Linked DNA regions of Drosophila melanogaster. The protein of the gene in region 2 purifies or fractionates together with the protein of the main gene of each other region. This does not show direct contact. Each region holds a gene or a part of one and is shown on either strand. Other genes may lie near its edges.

Region 1 (8,689 bases), on a different chromosome or scaffold from region 2:
TTGAGGATGTCATCCTTGAAGGGACAGATGTTTGGGATCTGGATGAGCTTCTGTTTCTTGCTACCCTTCTTTGGATTCTTCTTGGCTGCGCGACGTTCCTTTTTGTTGTGGTCCCGCACCTTCTTTTCGATCTTGTGCTTCAAGCGACCGGTGAGCCTCTTGGATTTCTTGGCTGTGGATTTTGACAATAGATGTAGAGCTTCATTTAATGTATATACATATATACTATTACTTACTCTTCAACCTTTTTAAAGCCATTTTACACGAGGATAACCGGAATCAAAACCAACTTAAAACAAGAACACGTGAAAATAGTCTTCTTCTTGACTTTTTGTCAGTCACCACGAAGCGTGGCCACTTGTTGTGGCGTGCTAGCCAACACTGCCAGTGTTGCCAGACTGGCAGTGTGATGTAATTTGGTTTTTGTGAACCCTCTGCGAAGTAAATTAATAATGTCACTGAAAAGTGTATTTCTAAGTGCTCTTCGGAGTATTACTATGCCCGCTGTGCCGCTCCAGACTTCTAGGATACACACGAGCGCTTGCTGGCGGAAGGCGGAGGACCGCAAGGAAATGCTGGCATCTTTACCGGCCAAAGACGAAGGAACCGTGGGCGAAAAGACCGTGGACATCGACACACTTATCAACCGGTTGGAATTCAATTTTACATTTGTAAATAGTCTTGAATTCAATTAATTTTCCATTTAGCAAGGCTAAGTTTTTCCCGGATGCCAGCACCGCCAACACGTTATTCAATGGAATACCCTTCAACGAGCTGCCCATCTGCAACATTCGCGTTTCACCCAACAACACAATTATTTCCGTCACGGATCACAAAGGTGGGTCATCTGGAACGTTACTCTAACTGTGATCTAAAGTATCCCTCTTTCCAGGAGTCCTCCGGCTGATACGATCCTGTGGAATTGAGGGATTCAAAAACACTCGCAAGGGAACCAACATAGCAGCTCAAGCTACAGCGGTTACCATTAGTGGAGTAAGTCATTTCCACAAGAAACAGGTTTTACCAAAGTAGGATGGTCAAAAACTACATAGAACATCGAGATAATCTCCATTATAGTTGTATACCATATATGCATTTGAATAGTATAATATGGGCATAGAATCATTTAAAACAAAAAACTTAAATTGTATTTCAGAAAGCCATTGAATTGGGCTGGAAGACAGTGCGAGTAAAGGTTCGTGGTCTTGGCCCTGGAAGAATGGTATGTTCAATACTTTTTGTCTCTCATGTCACTTAAAAATAATTAAATGTTTTGATTCAGTCGGCCATCAAAGGACTGCAAATGGGTGGGCTGAACATCGTTTCCATTACCGACAACACACATGTTTCCTTCAATCCTCCAAGACCCCGAAAGCAGAGAAGTCTTTAATGTGCAACTTGTTAAGACAACTTGTTTAAAAGCAAAATACACAAATAGTCGTTTACAAACAAATACGAAAACAACAGTTTATCTTTCTAATGGAATAAATAGCACTGTCACGGTGAGTTTTATTAGGAAGATATTTGAATATGGCCTTTTTGTTGCCACGGCCAAAGGTTTGCACAAGATTAATAGCAAAAAGATTAAATAACTTTGTAAAATATGTTTGTTTTATTTTTCTTAAATTATTTGCTTTCTTTTCTTAAAACCTATTTTGGATGCGCATAATTCCTCTTCTTATCCTACGTTAAAAAAAGTACAATACGCAATCTATCAGTTTGGATACCTACAAAATACGTAAAATACGAACTTTCCTCCCACTAATCAACTATTAACCCTAATCAATCTTTTTAAAATGGGCTGACGAGCGCCAGTTATGTTATGGATGCCATAAAAACGGTTTGACTAATTATCACCTAGCGAACACACTAGTAAGTAATATTACAATGGAATGCTGCTTCTCAACATGGAATTCTAGGGGATACGATCAGGCTTTGTACAATGAATGATGTTTTTGGTTGAGGCTAAGCGTGAGGCTCGGATTCGTATTGTCATGTGGCTGCGCTCGTGAGTTTTCGCAGGCGACCTTCGATGTGATGGTGAAAAACTTTCGCTGCTGTGCTAAATAAACATTCTTTTTGTGCTTTTTTTAATTTATGCCGCATATCATTAGCATTTCTCTCATCATCTGTGAAAGACGCTGGTGGAGTTCTTCGAAATCTTTCCTGCATTCTGGACCAAGGACAGTTTGGATTGACTAGCTCCTCGGATCTAATGGCGGGAATTTGAAAACTATGGTGTTCTGCAGGAATATATGGTTTTATATCCATTTCCGAGTCACAATTGTTGCAGCCGCTCATTCCGTATGAAGTATGAAACTGCATATTGGACGCCGTCCCAGGATAATGTGGACTCCCACTGCCGTACGTGTTTTGTGGTGTATGAGCATTCCTTTCCCCGTTGTTACTTCCATCCGGGTGTGGGGCGTCACTATCTTCGTAGTCCATAAACGTGGTGGAACACGCCGGCTGATAAATAACCGCCGACGCATGACCCGATCTTCCCGATTTTAGTGGTGTTCCTGTTGTCCACGTATTTGTTCGTGGATCGTAGACCTCGACTATGGACAGAAAGTTGTTGCCATCGAATCCACCAATGGCGTACAGTTTTTCGTCCAGCGGAGTCAGCGAGAGAGCACTGCGTGCGATTTGAATTGGCGCAACCATGTCCCAGGTATCGTTTTCGGTATCATAACGCTCCACGGTGGCTAGTTGACGGGTGCCATCGAAGCCACCAACAACGTAGATGTACTGGTTAATTGCAGCAACACCTGATAGCAATTAAATCGGAACTTAGTTGGAAATTAGATAACAGGATGCGCCAGTCATTCTTACCCGCTCCACTGCGACCCGTTTGTAGTGGTGGCAAAAAACTCCACTCATTGTTCTCCGGATGGTAGCACTCCACGCTGGCCAAGCGCTCGTTTCCATCGAAACCTCCGATGGCATAAAGCAGACGGTTGACCACCACAACACCCACTCCCAAGCGCTTGGCATGCATCGGCTGTACAAGAGTCCAGCGATCCAAATCGGGGTCATAGCTGCAAGAGATTTAAATAAATAGGGTTTGCTAAACTATGTCGATAGAATAAACAACCAGAAAGGCTTTGTCAAATTAATTAAACTATTATCTATTGAAATGATGAACACTACTTACTATTCCACCGTGTTGTGGTACTCCATGCCGGCGGACCCGCCTACGGCGTACATCAGCTCGTCCATCACGGCCACGCCCACTCGATGGCGTGGCACGGACATGGGAGCGCACGGACGCCATGTTTCGGTGACTGCACTATAGCGATCCACCCAATCCGAGTCGTAGGAAGATCCAATGTTGTTATTTCTGCCTCCAACCGCATAGAACTTGCCCTTGAGAAAGGCGGCACCCAAACCAGATCTTGGAATGCGTAGATTTGCCAGTGTCGTCCACGTCATGTCGTCTACATTGTAGGCCTCCAGAATGTCCAGTGAGTGACGAAAAAAGCCACCGGCGACAAATATCATCCTTGTGGTGTTGGGGGTTCGTTCCTTGACTCCTGGACACTTGTGCAGCGTTAAGTCCTTAAAGATCTTGGCCAAATACTCCCGACAGGCGGGCACCTTTCGCAGAACATCGCAGTTTTTCATCTGCTCCTTGAGGAAGTTGGGCGTAAGGAACTGACAACGGACAGCGCCCAAAATGTGCTCCATTTTACAGTGTCGATTGTCCTCGTCGTATTTCACCCACTTTAGCACAGCGTTGTAAACCTCTCGCTCCTCCTGCACATTCAGTTCATCCCTTCGTATCAGGGCAATCAACTGATATGCCGAAAGCTGCAGGAATTCCTCCTCTTGGCACACCTTAGGGGAACTCAGTAGCTATAGTTTTGTGTACTCTTTTCATATCGTAAATAGGTTACCTGAGTGAAATTTCGCTCAATAAACACATTGGCCTTCTTTTGCAGCTCAACACAGCCGTGTTGCTCAGCAAAGTGGGCGATGCCAATGGCATTCGTGGGATCCAATTGGCGCTCCAGAAAGGCACAGCAGGCATCGATTACGTTTGGCACTTGGAACATGGTGGCCGCGGGCAGGAGTTGGCACACCGTTACCTCGGTCACACGTATTTGGCCGGTGTACATGAAGTAGAGGATGCGTGACATGGCCGTGGGACACACCTGTAACACCGAAACGGACGAACTGTTCATCCATTAAACCAACCAATTAAGGGCCGCGCTTGAGCTCAACTTACCCCTTGGAGCTGGACGCGCGACATCTCCGACTCCTTGAGTCCCCCCGTGAACATGGCCTTGAAGTAGGGCGATGCCGCCGACAGCACCACTTTGTGGGCGGGAAAGAGCTCCTTCTTCACCTCGAGTACCACGTCCGTGAGCATGCCGTGCGAACGCATCATGTACATCATCTTCAGGGCCTCCTTGGCGTAATTGGACATGCAGAAGGTCATGTCATCATCCGTAGCATCGTGATCATCTAGGGTCGAGTGCGCCGATCCGAATCGACCACCGCATGAGATGGAACAACTTTCCGAAGTGTTGCTCATCTCAGCCTCTGGAAAATCGAGGAATAGATCATATTGTAATTCCAGGACATATTTCAGAAAATATTCAATTAATTTTAATTATTTAACAATTAATTTAATAATAATTAATAATTATATTAAATAGTAATTAATTATTATTAATTATTATTAATCTTAAAACCAATACACGCCCTACAGTTGAGCCCTGTAACCCTTGTACCTCGTACCTCATCCATCGCAAATAGATCGACAATCAGCGCGGGCTATTTATTCTATTTTATTATCTAATCTGTTATGAATTTGCAAAAAAATTAAAAATGGCACTTTAAAGAAATCCTCCAAGTGTGAAATGACGTACTATATTATGGATATCCAAGATAACCGAAAGGTTAGATACGACCGACCTTTAATACGTTCTAGAAATTAAAGCGGTCATTTATTTTGTTTTTGAATGCGAATAAGTTGGTAAGTTTATGAGTTGGTAATTTGGTAAATTGGGCTTAAAGATTTATAAGCTCTCGATTAGAAAACTAAGATAAGATTAAGGTAAATTATCTGTTTATTTCAAGAACACTCTTTCGAATGGATACTACATTGCCAACCGGAATTTGCATTGTCAACACAAACCAGTTTCTTTCGCGATAATATTTCAAATGTCTCTAATTATTCAAACGTCCAAATCGAGCAATGCAACCTGGATAAGTGCCGTTTCACTCCATTAATTTTTATCATCTCACATTCAACTACAAGTGACTTCACTGTAGCACAATCTGGAATCGTTTTCGCCAATCATTGTGGGCTGTTTCAGAGAACTTGATTCGCAATGCGCACCGTCATGATCAGTGGTTTCTTTTTTTTTTACCAAAAGCACGCGTAGCGAAAATATCTGGCAAACTTGTTGCGAATTGAACTGTAGACCCAAGGTCAAATCCAGAACTTTAAAAAAAACCAACCTTCTGGGCGGCAGGGGTATCCCTTGTGGTTGGGCATGTCGGAGATGTGGGTCTCATATTGCATGGGCGAGTGCATTTGGGTTTGCATTTTGGCACTAATCTCGGATCGATAGGGATCCTTCACAGCTTCGTTAGTTCGGTAGAGATAGTTTCAATAATCAATAGTTTCGCAAACAAAGACTGAAAGTCCGTGTGAAAATGAAAGCGCGCGATCAGCTGCTTCTCCGCAAATCCGCTCCGGCGATCATGCGTGTGCCGTGGAGAGAGCCCGTCAACTGACTGCCGTGGTCTGCGTCTGCCCAGCCACAGAGCCCACCGAGACTTATCTCTCGCGGGGATGGTGGCGGAGTGGGGGGAGCGTTTCAAAGAGCGTTATCATGCTTACATATGTGTGTGTGTGCACACATGTGCCTGAGTTCTATGTGGCCCTTCCAGGTGAATACACTCCGTGTTGTGGCGATAAAAACTATATAATGCCATGAATGAAACGCACGGCCCGTGGGCGGTTTTTTGGACCGTAACGATGATGCTCACAAATCGTAACCGATGGCAAACATAATTGTTTACCATGTTTACCAGCAACAGGTTTTTGTATGGAGCCTCAGGCTACACAGCGTTTGCAAAAAAATTACGCGTGTCATGCAAGCAGTTAGGAATTTCGTTTTGTTCAAAAGATAGCTAAAATGTGTTCAAAGTCCGTGCCAAATGAACTATTGAATACAATCAAAACAAAAAGCTAAGCTAATTTCGTATGCGCATATCGTGGAATATGTTTAAAAGAGATTACGTCTCTCTATTTTTTATTGCATAGTATTTTAGTCATGATCGGAGTTCTGTCTTAAGGGAATTTCACAACATAAATGGCCATATACACAATATTGTACGGTATATCCGATTAATCATTGTTACCAAGCTCAATTGAAAAGGCAATAAATTTTGAAGTATCAAGTCATGTTCCCAAAACAATTTCAATTTATGAACGCCTTATACACATGACGATAGAAATATTAATATCACTGATACACACTTAAAAAAATTTTTCGCATTAAATGAAGTAACTACAATAATGAAATATTTTTTTTTTTCATTTAATAATATTAAGACACAAAACCCTTTCAAAGATTATCCTTTAATTTTATTATTTATTCTAGAGAAATGTTTACAAAACGTTTAAAATTTATCGTATGTTTTTCTTATCTGAATCACCAAATTAAAACCACTACATATGTACTACACAAATATTTTTGTTTAATCAGATAAGGGCAAAAGGGACTTCCCCCGCCAAAAATCCCATATAAGTATTATGGCGAATCAAACGTACTTTGGAAAATCCACGCCCTTTAATAACATTAGTTCATCAAAGTGCGGCTTTAAATTTCCGCATAAAGTGACGCTGAGTTGGTTGTTGGTAAATGAATGATAAAGGCAAAAACTGGACGAAATAGTGCCGAATCATGCTGAAGAGGCAAAACCTTACACACTGTCACAGTGGTACGTCGGTGTAGGTGAAAACAGCAGCGTAATCAGCACGGATGTTGGGGATGTGTGTTTGTGTGTTTGCAGGTACCGTTGAACTTTGCTTTCACATAAACAAATATTACTCACTTACATTGCTCTCCCTGGGGCGACAGCTGTCACCCTTGCACACACGTACGTACTGTACATACTATTTACATACATACACACACCCGCACTTCCAACGCCATGTGCCAAACAGCTGATAAAGGCCATTGAAACTGAACTCGAAAGAAGGCCACTTAAAACAAACCACTTTGTTGTAAGAGATTACCGCAATGCAGGACAAACATTTACACTTTATCACCAGGGATTTCAAGATCTCACAGATACTTCATATATTTATGTATATAACCACGTAAATCGGCTGGGAAAATACACCGTTAATTTCTCCCTTTGTTTCATTGAGGTTTTCACATGCAGATAAATGTACGATCGTAGACAAATAAAAGGTTTCCCAGCTGGAAACTAAACTATGCGAGGGTCATGCACTTTTTATGCCTTTTTTGCACTTTGTATGTTTTATTTACTGCTACTCACATCTGTATTTATTTATTTTGCCACTACACAACGATTTTTTCTACTCTTCTTCTTAAGGTAAACATGCAAGTGCTGGAAAACGCTCGACACTGAAAGCATGTAATGACAGGAGTTGCCAGATGTCCAACCAGCTGGTGGATATTTATAAAATAAATGGTATACATGATATTAAACCACATTTACAAACAATTTTAATTATTACAACTTTAAAGTTGGTTGTACTGTTTCACTATTCTGATAATTTTTTTTTTTTTTTTTTTACATATAGATGTAGAAATTCCAAGACGTGAACCATCGTGACTTATCGAAAGCAAAACGATGATCGGCAGCACGTGGTATTTCTCCGCGTGGTAGCTAAGGTCCCACTAGCGCGTTGGTTATAATTTGTTTGTATCGGCGTCGGTTGAATTGAAATCAGTTAATTTGTCGCAAAGTAATTTCTGTATAAGTATTAGCTGTGCTGCTAGAACTAGAACGCTACAAGGTGGGTGTGCTTATGTTTATATTGATTTACAAAAAGCTAAAATACTGCTGGTTTCGATGGGCACTGTCTGCGCATCCTTTTTGTTGCGGTAGGATAGTATAGCATACATACATAAATTTGTGCGCGTACAAAGGAATAATTCAAATGTTCAAAATGTGCGCAAAATATGAAGCAGCAGGCGTTAGAAACATCAGTTTTATTGCCCTGCAAAAGGGCTTTATTGCACCCCTCGCCCAAGAGCTCACATTTTTTTTCCTTTCTCCAAACAAATTATCGCCAATTGCGGCTGTCGCGCCGCCATTTTAAAAAACGAACGCGGTATCAGCCTCCTACAATTGCATGGTACAGTGGTGGCAAAGCATAGTGGACCAGGTCAAAAAACCTGGGATGTCGAAATATCAAACTATAGTTTATTTTTGTTTTCAATTATAAGTAGCTTGGAGAAGCATATCTAAATATATAGTACATACAATATTATCTACTGCAGCGTTACATCCTTGAATATCGTTTTCTGTATACAAATAAATAAGAGATTCAATAACACAATGGTAGCTATCTAAATATGTCTATCAAAATAGTAATGTTTGATTCAGATTTCTCTAGTCAAATATTTATTGCTTTTGTACTGTATGCAATATTTTGGCGCGCACTGTATGCCGCCTTTTCTTGCCCACTCAC
Region 2 (8,159 bases):
TAATAACTTATATTACTGACTGTTTTATTTTTTTTTTTAACTGGAAGTGTATAAAAGTGTCGGCTGTTTCTCTGTATGTTTTTTTTCTCACTTTTATGCGGGTTAGTTGATAGTTTCCCTCAATTGAATTTGATTTGCGGCGAGAATGGCTTCAATTTTTCGGCAAGTGTGCCTGTGTGTGCGCGTGTTAGTGTGTGTTAGGCGGAAAAGCACAACAACAACAATAACAATAAAGACATTCTGCTGACAGAACGACAGCGATTACAACAACAATTACGAGGGACGTAGCGTGAGATTATCATGCGATACTTGAGCACCAATAAAATGAATCCACATGCGCGTAAAAAAGAGAGACGGCGGTCAGAAAGAGAGGGAGGGAGGGATGTATGGTGGGAGGAAGGGGAGGCGGCACAAGAAGCAGGCGACTTCAGAATCAGAAGCGCAAAACAGAAGCGAAAAACAGGGCCACAAAGCGAACAACAAAAACAAGCTGAGTGGACAATAACACGACTGCTGTCGTTGCTGTTGTTGTTATTGTTTCACTTTCTGGCACTTTTGTTATTATAGCACTCATTTGTTCTTTCGATTTGGTCTAGTCAGCGTGTTTAGCCATAATTCAATAAGCGCTAAGTTCACTTCTCTTTCGCTTTTCTCACTTAAACATTTGAATTTTTGTGTGGCAATCGCTGCAGCTGTTTTTCATAAGCTGGAGTTCAAAAACCCAGGGGGTGGTGGGTTGCTTTTCCGTTGCAACCACCCTCTGACAGCAAGAACAACAAACCAGACGACAAAGCATAAAAATCAATCGCACCCACACAACAGTTATTTCGGGGTTCTCTTCTTTTTTGAACTCTCAATTTTCACTTTGTTACTAATTTCCGTCGTCACGAGTTACAACAGCAACACCACCACCAACAACAACAGAGACACAATCATATGCACAACAACAAAAACACGAATAGCACAGCAAAAACAAACAATTCGCAACAGCTAATAGATTTTCATCTGATGTTTCCTTTCTGCACCTTTCCGAGCTGTTCGGTAACGTGTCCGTTGTTTGTTTAATCCGGCTTTTCAGTGGCCGATCCGACAAGGTGGACTTTAGTTTACCTGCTTCTCTGACAGTTTGGCACGGTGTTTTTACAAAACCTTTTCGGTGAAAAACTGCGAGGCCAACGAACAGTGTTGCCAGATGGTGAAATTGGCTAAAAAATCCACGAAATTCAAACGTGCTCAGTCGTCCGCCAAATGCGTCAAAAATACTAACTACCAAAAATATATCGCAATTTAATCGTACTTATTGTGTGGAGCTGTCCCTTTTTAGCACATGCTCTCCTTATGGCTGACTTGAGATATTGCTTTGCAGCACTTGATGGTGTGACCAGCTGTGTTTTGATGACAGTGCTGCCCATAAAAACGTTTGTGGGCGGCAATTTTGAATGGCTAGCAAAGTGCCTTTGCTGCGATAAGATAAGCAAACAATAAACAAAGTGATTTCTTTTCAATTTAATTTGCACACTTAAACTTTTGCGTTGCGAATGGTATCATAAGTACTACCTTTTACGCCTTCAATTTAAAATAAATAAATGCTTTTGTTACTAATAGCAAAGAATAAAAAAAAACACCCACTCATTGCTAAAGCTCATTTCATTTTTAAAAGATAAGGACTCATTGTTCGGTGAACAAAAGAAAAAGCAGTATAAAATAACTTCTTCCTGTCACTTATCGCTGAATCATCTAAGCGTGATATACGTGATTGCAAACTGAAAACGAAGAACAATCCAAATAAACAAACACCCTTTGCATGTGTATTTTTGTGGTTTTTGTTTATTTAATAATAGATTAATTACCGTACACTTAACCGAGAGAGTCCTATTCGTAACCATACACACTAAATATGCACAGAATTTTGTTGCATCGTGAATAAAAAAAAAAATAGTGAATTCATTGAAATATTAGCAAAGTAACAAAGTAAAGTACAAAGCATTCGCACGGATCAATTACAGCAATGGAAATTAAATGGCCCAGAAAGGGTGTGAATAGATCTGTTTTTTGTGGGGAAAGTTGGTTGGTTGGTTGTTTCGTTAATGGGTAGGACACAAAGCAGAGTTTAATTGAAATACTAACGCGTTTGGAAAATGTATATATATAAAATAATGTTCACATAACAATTGTTTTTGTAGTTTTCGGTTTTTGTGGATTTTTTTTGTTGCCCTGCGTATCAGATCAATTTCAAGTTCTTTTCATGTGGCATTTCCTGCGGTTTTCCTCAATTCGTTTAGCTAACTCGCCGTCCATATTGTAAGCTTGCATGCTAAACACAAAATATATTTTATTTATATATAGATTTCTGTATAGGGGGGGGGCTTCATTCCGATGCATCCCGACCGGAGCAAAGTTAGTTAATTTTGGCCATGCCGTAAACATTCTCATCGGAGTAGGCAATGTACAGGAAATAGTCCTCCTCGTGATGTTCCTATAAAAATACATCGAACGTATGTGATTCGATTGCAAGGCTAATAATAATGGGCATTGTGGTAATTACCTGGTACAGGGAGCCCATGGTAGCCGATGTTGGTGGAATGACGTTGTTCACAAAGAAGAAGAGGGCATCCTCGGGACGCAGGTGGATGCGCTTGCGAATGAGGAAGTAGAACTGACCGACGGTCAGGTCGGAAGGCACCAGGTACTTCTTCTTGTCCAAATCACCGATGCGCGCCTTGGGAGCCTTCTCGACGATGACCTTTGGGTTTAAATAGAAGAAGAAATACAGGAGGTGAGTTGTTGTTGCGGGCTACTTGTGCATGTTAATGTGCGCACATTTCGCACCTGATTACGTGCCCAATAAGGCTCACATATTTGGCTACAAATGGCATTTGCATTGCTGGAAGCAAGTGTGCTCGAATACGTGCTACCTTGGAATATGATAATGCCGAAAACATAAACTATAGTCTTATGAATTCTGATGCTTGCTATCTAGTGTACAAAATACCTTAATATTAATTGAAAACTAATTTGTTTACGAACAACTATACCTGATTGTTATTGGCCTGACTCATATTATATTTAGACAGGAAAATGAGTAATTTCGTAATTTCAGTCAGTAATTTCGTAATGCATTTTGGAATTTCGTAAGTTGGAATGTGTAATTACACACACGTGTGTTTTTGTTCACATATTATTTTTAAGCCAAATTCAATGCATTTTTCAAGGGGTATATGTTTTGTAATATAATTAAGATTTCTAGCACCTGTTTACATTCAAGTTCACCTGTATCATCTGTTTTTTTTTGTTCATTATGCAAAAACACATACACATTTTACAGCATTTTAGCCAAATTGATCACCAAGACGACCAAGTTGGTCATTGAAGTGAGCTTTGTAACGAATCTACTGCATTTCCTTGGCTCTGGAATAATTGCTAGCTGGCCTAGACTAGACGATCCGTTCTAGCCAGGGGCTCATTAGTTAGCCTTAGCCAAATTATTGGCAAACTGGTTTGTCCAATTTTTTTTTTTTGGAACAGGAAGCGGGTGCCAACATAGTGAATACGAAATGGGCAAAAACTGCTTGTCGCGAATGCCACCCCTCTATACACTAGTGTTCTATCGAAATTCGTTATCGTCATTGGCCGAACTCAAGGCACAAGTATGAGATGTGCTAGTACGTATGTATGTACTAAGTATATTCTATAGAATTCGGATATATATGGATATGCTGGTGGTCCGAGCGACCAGCTGGCCTTGCCCCTCGCTCAGCTGTTATGTGATTTGTGATTTGGCACTGCTGCACTTGCCAAAAAAAAAAAACACTAAAATAACACTGGCAATAATATTTCGGGGGTGCATATATAGCGCACATATGTACATATTTGTACATATATACATATGCATATGCAGTCCGAATCAAAATCGAAAACAAGAACTGCACTTTTCGCTGCGATTGGGGCACCTTCAGCAGTTTGTCGTTTCGTTTCGTTTGGTTTTGTTTTGGTTTTTGTGAAAGGAGTTTTCGCTGATAACGTGGTGAAATGCATACATACATAGCAGAAAAACAACAAAGAAGAAGCAGAAGATGTTTTTGTTTTTTTCAACCTTTCTGTTTTCCATTTTTTTTATTATTTTTGTTTTGTGTTCAGCAGCGCATCTATGACTAATTCCAGTCGCACTTTGTGTATTTGCGAAAAACAAAACAAGCAGCGCTAGTATAAGTGTGTATTAGTGAGTATTAGTGACTTTTTTTATGCGCAGTACTCGCTCGTTTTGCCAACAAACAAACGAAATTAAAATCGAAAACAACTGGTTGGTGCACACACAGAAAAAAAACGGGGTGGTCAAAACTTTGCTTGTAACTAAATTATGATGACAGATAGATATATGCGATTTTCTTGCTGTGTAGCCAGAGGGTGGGATAGAGGAGAGGAAGAGGTGGCACAGATGAAATCTAGCACTGAAAACAACAACATCACAACAGCTGAGCAAGTGAAACGGCTGCTTTGTTCTCTCCCTTTTTTTGCTTTTGTTTTTTCCTGTCGACATCTGTGTGCCTGTGTGCGCGTGTATGCGTGCGTATGTGTGTATGCAGGGGGCAGAATTTTCGTTTGAATTTCTTTTGAGAGCTTGTCGCCTGTTCCCCCCACCAGTAATGCAAAATGCACTTTATGCAATACCCATCGCACAAATTTCCCCAGCCACCTGATGTGCCAGTGCAATAATATTGTAATAACAATCGAAATACCCAATATGCGCAGTATTGATTTTCTTCGGTGCAAACACAAAAAAAAAGAGCGAGAAAAAAAACGACGCAAAACAAACGCATACACAGAAGCTCGCACATACACACACACTCGCACGCATATATACACACACACACACGTCTCTTTATACCTATATGCATTTATATATATATTTTTGAGTACTTACGGGCACACGGTCTGGATATTTGCGACGGATCTTGTCGCCCTCGGCGCGACGCTTCTCGAAGGCGTGCTCCTCCTTGTATTGGAACTTCATGATTGCAATGAAGAGGTAATTGGCTAAGAAACGCAGCTTCTATCACTTCGTTTGCTTTTGGGACTGTGCCGAATATCGATGCGTTGCTGAGCTTGTGTTTTTCTCTTCTCTGTTTTCTCGTACAAACGGTACGAAATACTTGTGTAGAGTGACCGTGCGCAGCAGTTGACAGAGCGCTTCGGTCTAAAAATCGATGACTTGCTGGTTTTATCGATAAGCACTCGCACTGTGGTGACTGCACTCGCTAACTGCTGTGGCTAGACTGACCGTGTGTGACCAGTGAGCGCGCAGAGACACCAACCCGAAACGCGCTAATAGTGGTGGCATATTAGACAGACACCATTTGGTTCATGTATTCGCTAAATGTTATCGGATGCAACCATGTGGTTCATGTGCTCGCTAGCAGACGGCTGTCGATATGGTTGTTGTACGCGTTAAATGGTATACACACCTACGGTCACACTGCACATATAACAGTTTTTCGCCGCAATAGAAGAATCCCTATTGTGCCATCGATATTATCGATATCACTAACTGTCATCGATGGATTGACGCAGCAGGCGAGACGAAACGTTAATTGTCAACTGTTCCCTCTGGCTGCTTACACACATAAATACACATCGCACGGAAGAAAAACAAAAAAGAGAAGGATGAGCAGCCAGGGACACCATAAGATGTCCGGCGGCGGCAAGAAGGGCGCCATGGAGCAGGACTACACCGACGTGGTCGATCTGGGCGATCGCTTCTCAGCGGACATGGCGCGCCTCTGCATGAACGAACAGTACGCGGACGTGGAGTTCATCGTCGAGGAGGAGCGCATACCCGCCCACCGCGTCATACTCGCGGCACGCAGCGAATACTTCCGGGCGCTGCTGTACGGCGGCATGGCGGAGACCACACAGCGCCAAATACCGCTTGAGGTGCCGCTGGAAGCGTTCAAGGTGCTGCTGCGCTACATTTACTCGGGCACACTGCTGCTGTCCACATTGGACGAGGATTCCACCATCGATGTGCTGGGCATGGCCAATCAGTATGGTTTCCAGGATCTGGAGATGGCCATATCGAATTATTTACGCCAGTATCTGGCCTTGGACAATGTCTGCATGATTCTTGATGCGGCGCGTCTATACAATCTAGAGGAACTCACCGAGGTTTGCCTAATGTTCATGGATCGCAATGCCGGCGACCTGCTGCTGCACAACAGCTTCAATACGCTATCCAAGGTAAGTTCACAACCAATTGGTAAAGTTGGCACTAAGAGTATGTAATGCTTACAGGAATCGCTGGAGGAGGTACTACGGCGTGACTGCTTCTTCGCCCCCGAGGTGCAGATCTTTTTGGCCGTGTGGAAGTGGAGCCGCTTCAATAGCAACGTGGACTTCAAGTCCGTGGTTAGTTATGTCCGCCTGCCACTGATGAACCTCGAGCATCTGCTGCAGGTGGTGCGTCCCTCGGGCATCCTGGATCCCGACAAGATTCTCGACGCCATCGACGAGCGCAGCACTTCAAAGGCGCTGCCCTACAGGGCGGCGCTCTGGCCGGAGGAAAACGTGGCCGCGGAGACGTTTTTGTCGCGCTGCATCCAGGGAGAGTGTCGCGACGCGCTGCTGGATGGAGATGTGACCACCTATGACATGGAGAACGGGTATACGCGCCACTGCATTACGGACAGCAAAGATGCGGGCATTGTGGTCGAATTGGGCACGTTCTGCATGATCAATCACATTCGCATGCTGCTCTGGGACAGAGACAGCCGGGCGTACTCCTACTACGTTGAGGTGTCCGGCGACCAGCAGCATTGGGATCGCGTGGTCGACTACAGCGACTACCACTGCCGCTCCTGGCAATACTTATACTTCGAAGCACGACCCGTCAGATTCATTCGACTGGTGGGCACCCAGAACACTGTAAACCGGGTAAGTCAGCAGTGATCTCTTCAAACTTTCCCCATTCTTTAACTTTTTCCCTTTCCATTAATATATAGGTATTCCATGTTGTGGGTCTGGAAGCCATGCACACGGCCAAGGTGCCGCGTTTAGTTAACCATTTTGTGGCGCCCAAGACGAACGTGGCCACCGTAGAGATGAGCGCCATTGTGACGGACGGCGTGAGTCGCACCCGCAACGCGCTTATCAACGGCGATTATGTGCGCTACGACTGGGACTCGGGATATACTTGCCACCAATTGGGCAGCGGCGAGATCGTCGTCCGTTTGGGCCAACCCTACTATTTGGGCTCAATGAGGCTGTTGCTGTGGGACTGCGATGATCGCACCTACAGCTTCTACATCGAAATTTCGACGAACCGCAAGGAATGGCAAATGGTCGTGGACCGCCGCAACGACAGGACCCGCTCCTGGCAGAACTTTCACTTTACTCCGCGTCCAGTGGTCTATATCCGCATTGTGGGCACACGCAACACAGCGAATGAGGTACGTAGCAGTGCAGCGCCACAAAACATGTCCGATAAGCTAATGCTCTCCTTGCTCTTAGATCTTCCACTGCGTCCACCTCGAATGTCCGACCCAGGACAAAAACTACTTAAAGAAGATAGCCGACATGGAGAAGGAGCGCGAGAAGAGGGAGAAGGAGAAGAAGACGGCCAAGACTGACGATGACAATATTGCCTCTACCTCGGGATCCTCGTTGGCTTCAGGCCATGCTGAAAGTCCCTCCACTTCCTCCAGCAGCAGCCAAAGCGTTTTAAGGTCCATCCACTGGCCGCCACAGACAAGGGAAGTGGCCGTTGCCCCACTCACTCCGCCAGCACTCTCCCCGCCCGGCACGCCAGCACTTCCGGCTCCTCTGACCCCGGCAACCTCGTCGCCGCATAACAACCATGAACAAAATCAGCCAAGTAATATCAGTGCAGACGCAAGCCACCACACCAGTCCAAGTTCAAGGAGCAACCCCAGTCCCAGCCTAAGTAGGAGCAGAAGCCAGAGTGCGGAGTTGGAGCCAGTGCCGCCATTGGTTGAGCTTGACACCAGGGAGACGCTCTGAGCTGATCGCCGCTGCGGCCGATAATGTTTTGTACTTGAAATACTCCTGTGGTCTGTTAGCTGTTAGTCTCCGCGCTTAGTTATATTTTGCAGACCGTGCTGCTCTTGTTATCTAGTCCTTCCCAGTGCCCCAATGCTTGGTGGTTC
Region 3 (6,328 bases), on a different chromosome or scaffold from region 2:
GCCTTGCGCTTCAACCCCAGCGTTCCACTCAGCTCCCAGAGCCTTTCCTCGTCGCCCTATCTAAAGTTCAACGAATTTAGATACGACAGTCGGTACGTGTCTCCTCTGGAGCAACCCCATCGCTGCTGCAACGATCCTATTGTGTTTCTTGACCGTGCCACGGATTCAATCAAGTTTAGACTGCACGCTACGGCCCGCCGGCATTTAAATCCTTTGGCGCCACGGGAATTGTGCGCCTTTATTTGGCATCCCTTTGACCCACTAGTGCTCAGTATCCAGAAATGCATGAACAGCTACGTCTACCACGTGCACTTGTATAACCACAGCACAATAGTGGAAAAGTAGACTGCCTAATATGTACATACATGATTTTGTACATTTGTGTATAAAACATATTCAAGTACCTTTTATATTATGAAATATATGTGATACTAAAATATCTCGTTTTACCTTTTCAGTAATGTCTTTATTTACAATGGTAAGAGAACATTTCTTTCTTTTATTTAATCAAAGACTGTGAAAATTGTGAAAATTCCAAGTACTGTTTAAATCTTTAATTCGACTTTGCTACATTGTATTGAAGGCCGACTTGAAACTTGAGGCCCAATCCGACGTTTAAAGTTTCATGTAACATTGTATCTCGACTGCGACTACGTTGAAGATTGGTGGTGACCGTCCTCGTTGTATTCCTTGTTGACCTTAAGGGAATGATTAATAACGCTCGAGCCGCCTGGAGGATAGTTCGGGGCAGGCCCTGATCCCGGGCCGCTGGCAGGCTGCTGTGCCTGAGGCTGATTGGGGATCGCATTTGGGTTGTTAACTGGATTCTGTCCGGGAGCCCCCTGCGGTGGATAGCCGCCTGGATATCCGGACGGGTCGGGTGGATACATTGATGGTGGCGGAGCTTGTTGCGGGTGTGGCGGTGGTGGTGGTGGTGGGGGCATGTACAGATTGTAGGGATATGAAGGATAGCCTCCCATTTGAGGATACGGAGGATACGGCATGTACGGATTGTAGAGATATGAAGGATAGCCTCCCATTTCTTGATACGGAGGATAGCCCGGATTAGGATATGCAGGATAATTGTACTTGTGCTCCGTCTTGGAGTGCTTGTGCTTCTTCTCTCCACTGCTGCTGCTGCTGCTGTCGCTGCTATCGCTGTCCGTCCTAACCACTTCGTACTGAAGTAGCAGTACCAGAAGGACTCCAATCGCCGCACAGCTCTTCATTTCTCCGTTTAAACGCACGACGTTCGTTTGATCTAAGCTCACGGGTATGACTAAATCTTGCTCACACAATACCTTGTCCCGTTCCCGTTCCGACAATTCAAATAGCCAGCGCGTGCGTTGATTTTGATAAGTCGACAAAAACATACAGATGCGACAAGGTTGCGGCAGGGCCCACTCAACTAATTCCCTGTAAGAGTTTAGGATTGAAAAACAATTTCATTCGGAAATGAACAATACTTCGCCCATAGATTATAAATAGAGAATACAATGGGTTAATAATTTATGTGATGTAATGTCTCATACTTATTAATTAGTTATTGTGTGTCGGAACAACCGCATTTCCTCCAGATTTTGTTATATATTGCAAAGAGAGGCTGTGTGCTTATCAATTTGACGCAAATTAAGCGAAACAATTCTTTTGAATAATCTTAATAGAAGACTGCGACGCTTTTATTATTTAGACAACTAAACTTTTAAATAGAGCGGCAATTAAAATTAGATACTAAAAGGTAATAAATGGGTTTTACATATACAAATTGGATTAGCAAGATAAACTTTCTTTTGTGTAAACTGTTTTATCAACTTCTTAAGTTAATAAACCGGATGCTGCTGATAAATAAAATCAAAACAGACTGTGCGTTGATTATAAATACTTTTTAAAGATAACGTTTTGGGAAATACCCTATGTACTACTTTTCCATTGTCGCCATTGTATGAAATATATTAGGTAATCGTTTGGTACTGCCTGAAATTGACGAGGGTTGTCCAAAGAGTAGTTTGTGATTTCTTATACCTTTTTATTCGAAAAATACGTATAGCTTAATGAACTATAAAATTGATAGCATTATTAGTTATCTCCGTTTTTGCTGGCAGCTGCCGAAGCCTTCAGACGATTCTCCTTGACCAGCTTGCGCCATTCCAGCCATTTGGCCAGTTCGGGTTGCTCGCTGCCGCCGCCTTGCTGTTCCAGCTGCATGTAGTAGGCTTCGCGCAGAATTTTGAAGGCCTGGATGCTGTAGTATGGCTGCTGTGTGATCGGGTCAAAGTAACGGGCTGGCAGCCTGGTGATTGGACAGATGCCATTGCTGGCTTTGGGAGGCGCCTTGTGGCGGAAGAGGCTTTGAAACACCTTGTCATTGAAATCGTTCTCGATTGTAACGAATGTGCGTTCGCACTTCCCAGCAAGATCCTTTGAATCGACCGCAGGGTTTGCTCCGCGAGTGGGCTTTCGCATCGCTGGCATGGTTAGTGAGTGGTAGCGTATCGTGGGTCCGGAGAACGTGCGCTTGGTGGGACGTGATTTCTTCTTCTCCAGCTCCATTTTCTGGAATTTCTCTGTGAATGCAACAGCAAATTGTAAAATAGCTGCTTCCTTGGTTGCTTTAGATACCCACCCAAAGATTTAGTGTTTTCTTCCTCGGTTATTTTGGCCTCCTCCAGCAGCTCCTCCTGCGTGGGCATGTAGTCCTCCACGCGCACCTTCTTCTTTTTGCGCTTGCGGGCATCGTCCAACTCTTTGAGGCGTATTTTGGTAGCCTGTGTCTTGATGGCCGTGGAAGTGCGTATGGATTTGCGGCCGGAATCGAGGACCGTGAAGCGTGGACGTGGCCGCCGTTTCGTTACCCCACCACCAGGTCGTTTCTTGTGCAGGGCCGGCGTTGCCTTTGTTTCCTTTTTGACTGCAGGCTTGGTTTCCTGCGGAAATCATATGTACCATTTAAACACATTCAGTAATCACAGGATTTTATCGCATTTTAAGAATGGTTCGCACCTTATAAGCCTTTGTGTTAACGACACCGCGTTTCCGCTTTTTCTCGGGCGCCTCTTCCTGATCCGAAACGGGCTCGTCGTTCTCATCGATACTGAAGTCGGAGTCAACCACATCTTCCTCTTCGTCTTTTTGCCTGCAGAGTGAATTTTATATGGCTTGAGCATTTAAATTTATTCAAATGATTAGTGCTCACTCGTATTCCTTATCCTCTTCGTCCTCCTGAAATCCACCATAGGACGTTTTGTAAAAGTCGTCCTCCTCTTCCTCATTGAGCAAATGAGCTATTTTGTTGCCGGCATTGTTGCGCCGTGATCGCGAGGCAGCCATTTTTGTTATTTATATATAGAAACTATGATTTAAAGCAGCTATTAAATAATAATATTTTACAATTTGTAAATGTAAACAAGCAGAGCAGTGTGACCAATGTAGCAAACATAGTATATATCGCAGAGGCTTTACAACTTTGGTATGCGTTTCAGCCCTGGTAAAGAAAATGGTTTCTCCTGCATTGGCAGTTATTCAAACACATTTAAAACATAGCTAAATTTATTTATTTATCTATTACATGTATCACAACAAAAAGCAGGCAGCTGCTTTAAAATCACATTAAAAAGCGGTCGGTAATTCAACTACCGAAAGTAGACCACATTACTTTACACTTGCGCTGGCCACACTCTTGGCTTGTTGCTTTTTATTCTGCCGGCTGCCTGCATTTTCTGATTTAATTTAATACCATCGATAAAAAGACTGCTCGCAACATGTCGGAACAATGGGAGGTGGTCTCCAAGTCGCGCAAGCAAAAGAATCTGGACAAGAAGGTGTCTGCACACAACGAGCAGAAGCGCATCGCGGCCCAGTTGCCCAAACTGGAGGAGCTGTGTAAGAATCTTTTAAAAGGTGCACCTTGCAATGCGATTACATGTTTGCCCCTGCCATTTTATTCACTTCGCAGTGCCAACTCAGCGGTATCGCAATTTGTTCGGCAGCAGCAACAACAACAACAGCAAGTCCCATTCCCCTGCGAAATCTAGTTCAAGTGCCTCATCTTCCTCAAAAGCCAATAAGTCGCCAGTTAAAAAGCACACCGCAAAGAATGCCTCTACCCAAAAAAGGACCACGTCGGCAGCCGCATCGAAGCCAAAGACTCTGGAGCTGGCCTTGAGAAACATCACCCGGGATGATTTTGCTGCCCAACTGGAGCAGGTGAAGCTCAGTTGTCCTGGCTCCGAGCTGCGCTGGTTAAGCCATGTATGTTTCTAAAGGAAATGTGCCTAAATATTTGCTCACCTATCGTTGTCCCCCAGATTGCGCTATACTTCAATGAAGCCTTGTCCTATGACTGCGATCCCATCTTCTCCGGCCGCTCGGCTCAGTATCCCAGCAATTTGGCCAGCGCCTCGCTCAAGTACTCAATTGTGGAGTTTCTGGGCAGTGTGGGCGAACAAAACCTGGAGTATTTCTTCTACTCCCTGCTGGATAGCATGTCAACGGATCTAAACAACAATCAGACAGTGGCAGGCTACAAGCTCATCCTACAGTTGATCGGTCAAAACTGGCCGAACATTTGTTCTAGGAACCTGGCCAAGACTGCGTTGCTAAGGAACTCCTATCAGAACCGTAGCAACATCTGCCTGAGCATCCTGTGGGCAATTGGACAAGGTGGCTATCAGTCCCTAAACGAGGGCGTTCGCGTGTGGCAGAACCTGATGCTGCCCAACCTGGAGCTAAAGCAGTACACCAAGTTTGTGGTCGAGTATATGGAGCGGGCTCTGAGTGCAGCAGCTGTCCGGAAGACAGCGGATCCTCTGCAGATCAACCAGCAGGAGTTCTTTGCCACTTACAATGCGCTCAATGCACCCTATAACCACCTGCCCAAGGAATGGCAGCAAAGTCTGAAGCGTAGTGCGCGTTTGTTGCTTGTAAGGACGAAAACAATTGATAGTTGTCCCATTGTTTCACTGACCTTTCTTCCTCCTGTGTGTAGCAACACTATATCAACAGTCCTGTGAGGCATGCCAACATATTCCTTACGCTCTTCCGGGAAATAAGCGCCGGATCCAAGCAGACTAATGAGATCGAAGGCTGTATTAGTTGTCTGCTCAGCAGCGGCAGAGATGATTGCCTCAGGGTGTGGCGCATGAACTACAAGAAGCAACAGTTGCCTAGTCTACTGCTTCTGAAAGCTATAAGTACGATCTACAGCTGTGAAAATTCATTTAATTGGATTTTTGTTTAAAAGTACCACCCACACTTAACGTTAATGTGTTATCTAATATTGAATTTCTATCTTTTCCTAGACGACAATTGGACCACGTCTACCCATGAGTTGGCTACGTCGACTGTGTATCACTCTTTTCTGCAAGATGTGGCGAATCTGAACGAAGAACTGCAGGGAAGCAAGAGAAACGAAGGTCACCTAGATGATTTAAAGGAGGTTTTGTTGGTGAGTGCGACTTAAGTATATCACTCGATTCCAAGCATAAGGCTCTGATCCCAGATCGATAAAAGGTGAATGTTGAATGTGTGTTGTTTTATCTTTTATAGTTTTATTGGAAAACTAGTATATAGGTAATATATTTATTTTGTTAGCTTTTTTAACCCAAACTTATTATTCAAACTTAAATGAAATCAGAAACACTATAAATTTGAATTTTCTCACACCTCTGGTAACACTGTTTAAGTTAAGTGGTCTGGCTTAGTACATTACGTACTCTGGTCACATTGCTTTAGTGAAAAGAAAAACGAAGGTATAAACTTGTAGAACTGCCGTCTAAAAGTGAATAATTTATTGCAATCGGTGCTAAAAAGAATGATATGAGCTTATTACACTGCAGCTAACTAATGTAAAACTCTTCACGTAGAAGTGGCCGAACTGTTAGCCGTTAATGAAGTTAGAGTTCTTTAGGAGGACGCTGCCAACGCGACGTCGCTGCGGGAAAGAGATGGAAAGCGTTAGCCGGCGTTCGTCCGAAATTTCTCCGCTATTCAACTGGCTTTTGAAGCCTGGAGTGAGCATAAATTAATGGTCCGCACCTTAATTATCGCGTTGTCGCAATTATTGTTGCTGTTGCAGTAGTGCAAAGTGCGTTTCGTGCATATGTGTGCGTGTCAGTATTAACGGTTGTGTATTCCGCCGTTCTGCACTGGTATTGGTGGCAGCTATAGCTGCACTTTTCCCATAGCGTTGCCATGCGGGTTCCAGTTGCCGCTAAATTTCTCCGAGCAGAGCAGACGTTTTGCTTTCGAAAAGAGAGTGGGCATGGCCATCGGGGATCATAAATTGCCGCATTATCAGCCAACATTCTTATCAGTACACCCAATTTTCGGC
Region 4 (7,053 bases), on a different chromosome or scaffold from region 2:
GTGCATAGTGTGGGAAATGGACTAAAAGCCAAAGCGTAGACCAATATTCGCTCAATTAGCTGGGGGCTCGCGCGTCACAATTATGTAATCGAATGGTGTGACCCCAAATGGGACCTTGGCTCACCTTCGTAGGCGCAATCCACGACATCATTGCCCAGATCGCTGTAAACCTGCTCCTGGGTGGCGAAGTGCGGATCCTCCGCATCGAATGACCAATAGGAGTAGTCGAAGGTGAAGTCGTGATGATTGTCCCGCCCGGCATCGCGAATGGACTGCAAACGTGGCTTCAGCAGACGCGTCTTCTTGTTCTCCATCTCCATGATGAGCTGCGCGTCCATGTCGATCTCGCTGCAATGGGAAGTAAAGATGACAGTTTTATTTACTTACTTTATTATTACATTACATAATGGATCTCTGGCTCTTAACTTGTGTTAAGTTAAAGCTACATATAATGGATAGGCATTTGCATACACCTCCGCACAGCCCGTCCCCTTCTGGTGCCTTTCGTGTTGGATTATAAATAGACCGAGCCGCTGGCTCATAAATATTCTTATTAACGATTTTTGCATGACCCCAAACAAATGGCGAAAATTCAGGGGGCGTTTCTTGGTTCACGCGAATGGAAATGGAAATGGACGGGAAATGGACTGGCCCATGCAATCCAATTGACATGTTAGCCCTGTGATCAGACGACTCGACGCTCCACAGCTAGCTGGATACAAATTATAAAAGAAAATCCGGTTTGTAGCGAATACAGAAATGAAGAAGAAACAACCGACGACTTGATTGCAACATCAAAAGGAAAAGCGGCGCAAATAAAAAAAAGAGAGAGAGAGATGAAAAACTCGCGTCTGGGCATAGATAGAACATTCGTTTAAAGATGGAACCGAACCGGTTGACTGGAGTTCATAGGGGCACCCACACATCGAAATAGACTTCAGCTGAAAAAGTAACACATGCAAAGGCGCCTCTAAGCAAACAAAAGATGCACGATAGCAGGCATCGAAAAAGTGGAAAAACGTGGATTTAGCATCTTCATAGATCCAAATAGACGTCTATCATAACTTTAAGGCCAAGATGGACAGAAGAAGATCACATCATTCATTTACAGTCTGTATTCGGCACTATGGGAAGATCGTGAGATTTGGGGGAACAATTAGTTATTAGCGTAGATTATTGTAATTTTGTGTATTCATTTATTTCCCCAATTGTTCTCTGTACCTTTGAGAGTTGGGTTGTTCCCATGATTGTACTGTTTAACTTTTACTCAAATGTTCTGTCTTCTTTGCAGTGAAAAGGGTGTTTGTTCTGCGACTGTAAAGCTCTAGGAATCCCATGGCAGCCGTAGTGCCTTGTCCCATTTCGAGCGACAATTTTGGGTCATTCCCCCCATCTTCAACATGGGCTGCCACGATTACGCCGCTCCACTCAAGTCGACGCAGTACTCATTGCGTTTGAGTGGCTTTAATTCGTTAATCTTTGGCCCAATGCGAGTGCATCATCCAGCTGGAGATTACGGGAAGCGAGAAAACTCCGGCAAACAGCGGGAAATTCTTTGCGGCATCTGATTCATTTCCCAATTAAACATTTATGCGGGACACCAGCAAATTTCGCTGCTGTGACTCATGAGCGATGGGATGTGGAACTTGCTCGGCCAGTTTCGTGCCAAAATCAAAAATGTTTATTTGGTTTGCTTTTTTTCGGGTGCAGTGCCTATAAAGCACACTTACATATATACGTAATTATAGTAGATATCTGCTTTTGTTTTCGCATGGAGGCTACTGTGAGCAGTCAGTCTTGCATGTCCACTGAGGAGCCGTGGAAATATGTGCTAAAAATGTCCGTCCGGAGGCCAAAGAAACTATGCAAAAATATTTACAGTGAATGCTGCCAAAAGGAGAACGGGTTTCTCTTAAAAAATTTAAAGAGGTTTGTACATATGTACACTGCTAATTAGGATTATTATTCAAAGTGATCATCGACTACTAATCCAACTTGTATCCGTTTGCCTTATCGAGTGCTCCCTGTCATAGTGAGTAGCTGCTTTGCATAAGTTTGAGCCAAAACGATGATGTCACAACGCGGCAGGGAGTTAGCTCCACTTTTTGCCATTATAATTACAGCATTTGCCGCTGATAATGTTGTTTTATTTCATGCACAATTAACACACGGCAGCCGTAAACTCACAGCGCACAAAGCTCGTTTTGTTTGGGTTAATGTGATTTTTATATCGAACGCCAGAGATGAATGACATCATTACGGAATGTATCTTTCTTAGCACACATATGTACATATCTTTCTTTGTGAGGCACTTCTGCCAACTTCTCGGTGCGTTCGTCTTTCTTTCGAACGCTTTTCTCGATTCGGTTTTATTCGCAAGTAACTGTGCCAAAAGCAATGACCGCTGCGCCAGATAGCCAAGATAAAGACACAAAAAAAATAAATAAAAATAAAAAACAAGCAGCAACATAAATGCTTAACGATCATAGACAAGGCTGGTAAAAATAAAAAGGTTTAATGTGGTTTTAAGTAGGCAGTCTAGTACACTTTTTACATGTATTTCAAGGGGTTTTTTGTAACGAAATTTGTTTTCTAGACACTTTTGTGCTTTTTAAGTGAAATGCGCAACCAAATTCCATACTTTTTTTCAAGGGGCGTTTTAAAGTTAATACGCGATAGAAAGCCCAACAAACAAACATTCTCCTATAATGATAATGATAAGTGAGGTCATAATAATAAGGCAAATCTATATCTTTTTTGTTTAAAGTCATCGTCACCCCATTGCTTAGTCATATTTTTCAAAATCTAAATTAAAGCTGCTTTTTGAGTAATAAAAGAGATTGTTAGAACATATTCCACAACCAACTTAATATTTCAGTTTTTGATTAAGATTGGGAATTGTAGTTTTTTTTTAAAGATAATATTCATATTCATAGAAACATAATCTTGAATATTTAGCTGTGCTTTTTGTTGATCTAAGCTAAGTTTGACTACCCTATTTCTGTGTAGATTCTATTTGCAGTGTTGCTATTTCCTTGACCATGGCTGTGTCTATAAATAGGCGTAGGATATCTGGGCTTACCGGGAGTTGAAGGGTCGAACCCTTACGGCGACCTTGAGTGACGACATTTCGATGGTGGCGATGGGGGTGGCTACGCGGGATTCTTGTACTCCTTTATTTGTTTATTTGGGTGGTGGGTGGTGCGGATTTGGGGGGCGTTTTCAGCACGTACAGTAAACCAAAAGCAAAGAGATGGGTACCAAACAAAAAAAATAGGAAAAAACTTGCAGCAGCAGGTTTTGTTCTTGTTGTTGTTGTTGTTGTTCTCGCCTGACCACTTGCCACGTAATTTGATTTTTTTGGGATGGATTGTCAATGGGGGGAGGGGTGGTAAAAGAAATGGGGGTGGGGGGCAGCAGTGGAAACACAATTCACTCTGTTGCGTTTTTGTCCGACTTTTGGTCTTTCTGCTTTCCGTTTGCTCTGCTTTTCAGTTTGTTTTTCTCTTCGTCTTCTTGTACACCGTTATTTCGATTGCGAGCCTCCCGTTCGCAAAATCAGCGAACTTTGCGAACTTTTCGCGGCTCCACAAACAACTGCACATACTACCACTAATAAAATTAAGATTAAATTGTGCGCAATTCGACATTAATTCACTTGCACAATTTTTCCTGCCATTTTTTTCGGCGGCTGCTCATTGCAACTCGCTGCGTTTTTGCGCTGACCATATGTGTCTGCCCATATATTCACTGGACATGGGTCATTAAGTGCAGCACGATGAAAATAAGAAAAATAGCACGCTGTATGTACACTTTGTTACTTCGATTTGCGTTTATCTCTGTTTTTTAACGAACGCGACGCGATGTTGTGTTGTTGTTCATCGTTCGACTCGGTGTGACCGTTCGCAGAACAGTGCTAATAAACTGCGGAGTTACACACTCGCCTTCTGGCAGTGCGGTCACACCAATTCGATGTTTTCAACATTCATAGAAATGGTTGATAACACGGATAGCGCATACTCAAACCGATTTGAATGTTTTCTAAATTCAAAAACTTGTTCCTATTGTTCAAACCAAAGATTTTTAAAAAAATTAGATCTAACTTTAGAGGCAGATCTCAAATACTCAGCAATATAACCTTGTTCATGGACGCAATTTGTCATCATTTTAATTTTAAAGCTTACAAAATTGAGGTGCATTTCGAAAATATTAAGCCCGTGTTGATACGATAAAACGTTTACAAAGTGAGGCAATTAAAGCTATTTGTTAGTGCTGTTAAACAGCATTGAAGTAAATTATAGAATAGGTTTGCATTTTTCGATCACACTCATTCTCAGTTGACAACAATGTACACAGCATACAAACTAAGGCTCCTAATCTCCACCAGACTGCCTGGGTCATACGTAGGTGCCGTTCCACCGCTGACACCACTCCAGCGCATACTCGTAGCCCAGGAAAGTGGCGGCATTGAAGGGAACCGCCCGCGCCACCAGCATCCAGCTGCCGCGGAAGATGCTCCTCCAGCCGTAGGCTCTGTACTGCACCCGCACGCAATGGAAGATGCCCCGGTACTTGTGATTCTCATCCGCCTGCATCAGCGTCTTGACCACGTCGAACGGAATGACACACACCCACGAGATGACTCCCGCCCAGGCGCCGGCCAGCGTGGTCACCAGCAGGTTCACACTGGATCCGTCCGACTGACTGCGTCGCCGGCGCACAAAGTCCCGCCTGTCCATGTAGTCAACGCCCTGGCGATAGGCCAGCATATAGATTCCATAGGGCAGGACGTCGCTGTAACCAAACGACCATTGAAAGATTCATGTATTTTTGGACTACCACCTGGACTAACTTACCGGCACATCATGGGCAAAAGGCCGCGATAGAGCCCCGAGATGCCATCAGTCTTGAGTATCCTTTTGAACGTGCCAAAGGCGGTCCTTCTCTGGCCATACAGATAGTCACTGTAATCTACGGAATTTCACAAATTAATCCTCCATTTTGGGATTAAAAAATCAAGTAGAACCCACAAGTGGCTGTCTGCAGGCGAACCTTGATCAGCTCCATGGGACAGGCGATGAAGGACTGCACGAATCCCGCCACAGAGCCCGCCAGGAACATGTTGTGGTACTCCAGCTGCTCCCGCTGGTAGTCACTGTGGCACACCTTTCTCAGCTGCCGCAGATGGTTTCCATAGATGCCGAAAAGCAGCGAGTTGATCGCTCCCGTCGAGATGAACGGGAAGAACATGCCCCTGTAGAAGCCGTTGACCTTTGAGGCGATGCTGATCGATTAAACCCATCACGACCCACCTAGGCGCTCTAAGGGATTGCGTCCAGTCGGAGTCGGGATTAAGAATAGGACAAAGCCATTTTGGCTGGTTTAAATATTTGAAAAGTTATGAATAAAAAAGGAGATTGGAAGATCGACATGTACATCGTTATCCAAATATTTCACATAAAATTTGTATCCTTGAAAAAAAGTTTCCAACTAGACGCAATCCTTCTTTCCAAACTTACCCCATTATTTCTGCTGTAGATCTGTTGAATGGCTGTCACAACGGATGAATTTGAGGCCTGTTGCCAAACTTTGATCGTGTCGAGTGGGTGGGCCACCAGCACCCCGCAGGCACCTGAATATCAGAGTATAAAAATCAAGAATGCAGCATAAATTAATTAAAATTGTGGCCACAAAGTTAAACAACACATGTTGAACGGCCGCCGCCGCCGACAGCCGCTTGCCAAGAATCCGATGGATCAGGGGCGCCGCACGTGAACTTGACCATGGCGCCCGTTTTCCGCCGGGACTGAGGCAGTTCCCCTCAACAAGTGGCCTATCGCCACACGGCTGCTGCATTGCGTCATGCATGGCCCAGAGTTCTGACCAAATTGGGATGAATACCAGCTGGAGCTCTGCCGCTCCGTCACTCACCACCAAAGCATCCGGCCACAAAGTCGCAGTAGTTCTCCCACTTCATGGATGCGGATTTTCAGCGAACGCTTGGAGTTTTCGGAAAATTGATTTTTCTCGCGATTTTCCAACTGCACCTCACGACGGCAGCGAACCAACTGCAGTGCACAGCTTTTGTGGCTCGGCAGCAAAGCTCTGCGATTTCGCCAGCTTTCCCAGCGAACAGAAGCTGATTGCTAAAAAATAGGCAAACCGAATGCTCACTTTTCAAAAAAAGATACTTTCTAACGAAAAAGTAACTCTGCTAAGCATAATGATATCTTGTGGGTATACAGCTCAAAACTATTCAGTTCTAAACTTAAAATTTTCAAACCAAACTTTCTAGAATTTTTCCTACGCATAGGAAAAAGAAGTGTAGAAAGTTTCTTAGCTTTTCACTTCAAGTTCAAAGGAATATAAATCCTTTAATTTTAAAAATACTATTTTGAATCCTATCTAAAATCAAACACGTTGTGTTAATTATTTTGTATTTATTAATTTTTTATTGTTGATTGATCTCTTTGCTTCTTTTCTCTCCGTTTGCTCATCATTCTCATTCATTCAGTTTTTGTGTGTTTTTTTTTTGTTTCATCTTTTACTTGGTTTTTAATCATTTTTGGTTAATTCTGCTTGCAGCTAAATATTTGTTTTTGCCTGCGCCATGCAATTTTAATTATTTTTTTTTCTGCTGCTTCTCGCCATTAGTTAGTTAATTTACTTTATTTTCGCATACTTTCTGCCTGGATTCGAAAGCAATCAACTAAACCTCTTTTTTCCGATGCTTCTCCATATATAATTTTCCTTTTTTATATATATATGCTGTTTATATATACCTATATATATATATATTTATTCCCATTTATGTTTGTGTAATTATAATTTACTCTTTATATTTACTCTCAGCATAAGATTTTGTTTAGTCGTGTGTGTGTGTGTGAGTGAGTAAGTGTGTGTGCGATTGTGGGTGGTGTGGGTGCTGTGTGCCTTTAACCAAAGGAAAAAAGAATCGAAATCCTGGCACACCGGCCTACACAGAACTAGAACTCAAAGTTTAAAAAACGTAATAATATAGCGTGTGTACGATAGGTTTTTTTTTTTACAAGT

What was found.
Region 1: the proteins of Atg8a (region 2) and Keap1 purify together in Drosophila melanogaster (affinity purification with western blotting, with the first as the bait; one study listed by BioGRID). This does not show direct contact.
Region 3: the proteins of Atg8a (region 2) and YL-1 purify together in Drosophila melanogaster (affinity purification with western blotting, with the first as the bait; one study listed by BioGRID). This does not show direct contact.
Region 4: the proteins of Atg8a (region 2) and Klp98A purify together in Drosophila melanogaster (affinity purification with western blotting, with the first as the bait; one study listed by BioGRID). This does not show direct contact.

Annotation. Positions count from the first base shown.
Region 1 is NT_033777.3:17,072,346-17,081,034, forward strand, and holds Keap1 (Keap1), read right to left. Parts: upstream 5,758-8,689; 5' UTR 5,561-5,757; coding exon 5,473-5,560; intron 4,549-5,472; coding exon 4,232-4,548; intron 4,158-4,231; coding exon 3,900-4,157; intron 3,841-3,899; coding exon 3,158-3,840; intron 3,042-3,157; coding exon 2,836-3,041; intron 2,772-2,835; coding exon 1,993-2,771; 3' UTR 1,597-1,992; downstream 1-1,596. Other genes in the region: Ns1 (nucleostemin 1), read right to left, coding at 1-172, 237-258; mRpS11 (mitochondrial ribosomal protein S11), read left to right, coding at 453-649, 708-838, 893-993, 1,157-1,222, 1,283-1,390.
Region 2 is NC_004354.4:10,763,060-10,771,218, forward strand, and holds Atg8a (Autophagy-related 8a), read right to left. Parts: upstream 5,280-8,159; 5' UTR 5,012-5,279; coding exon 4,922-5,011; intron 4,248-4,921; exon of another isoform or gene 4,109-4,247; coding exon of another isoform or gene 4,094-4,108; intron 3,598-4,093; exon of another isoform or gene 3,319-3,597; coding exon of another isoform or gene 3,271-3,318; intron 2,744-3,270; coding exon 2,546-2,743; intron 2,477-2,545; coding exon 2,399-2,476; 3' UTR 1,819-2,398; downstream 1-1,818. Other genes in the region: BTBD9 (BTB (POZ) domain containing 9), read left to right, coding at 5,662-6,234, 6,289-6,927, 6,996-7,442, 7,504-8,013.
Region 3 is NT_033779.5:10,967,553-10,973,880, reverse strand, and holds YL-1 (YL-1), read right to left. Parts: upstream 3,439-6,328; 5' UTR 3,328-3,438; coding exon 3,194-3,327; intron 3,134-3,193; coding exon 3,001-3,133; intron 2,925-3,000; coding exon 2,624-2,924; intron 2,565-2,623; coding exon 2,077-2,564; 3' UTR 1,788-2,076; downstream 1-1,787. Other genes in the region: abo (abnormal oocyte), read left to right, coding at 1-345; CG16743 (uncharacterized protein), read right to left, coding at 651-1,373; Tmem214 (transmembrane protein 214), read left to right, coding at 3,759-3,879, 3,953-4,248, 4,305-4,919, 4,985-5,189, 5,298-5,443. UniProt on the Drosophila melanogaster protein: Part of the Tip60 chromatin-remodeling complex which is involved in DNA repair. Upon induction of DNA double-strand breaks, this complex acetylates phosphorylated H2AV in nucleosomes and exchanges it with unmodified H2AV.
Region 4 is NT_033777.3:27,555,244-27,562,296, forward strand, and holds the start of Klp98A (Kinesin-like protein at 98A), read right to left. Parts: upstream 3,903-7,053; 5' UTR 3,130-3,902; coding exon 3,083-3,129; intron 349-3,082; coding exon 125-348; intron 1-124. Other genes in the region: CG5646 (uncharacterized protein), read right to left, coding at 4,398-4,794, 4,857-4,971, 5,031-5,271, 5,520-5,632, 5,932-5,977. UniProt on the Drosophila melanogaster protein: Plus end-directed motor protein involved in asymmetric cell division of sensory organ precursor (SOP) cells by playing a role in the asymmetric localization of Sara-expressing endosomes to the pIIa daughter cell but not to the pIIb cell.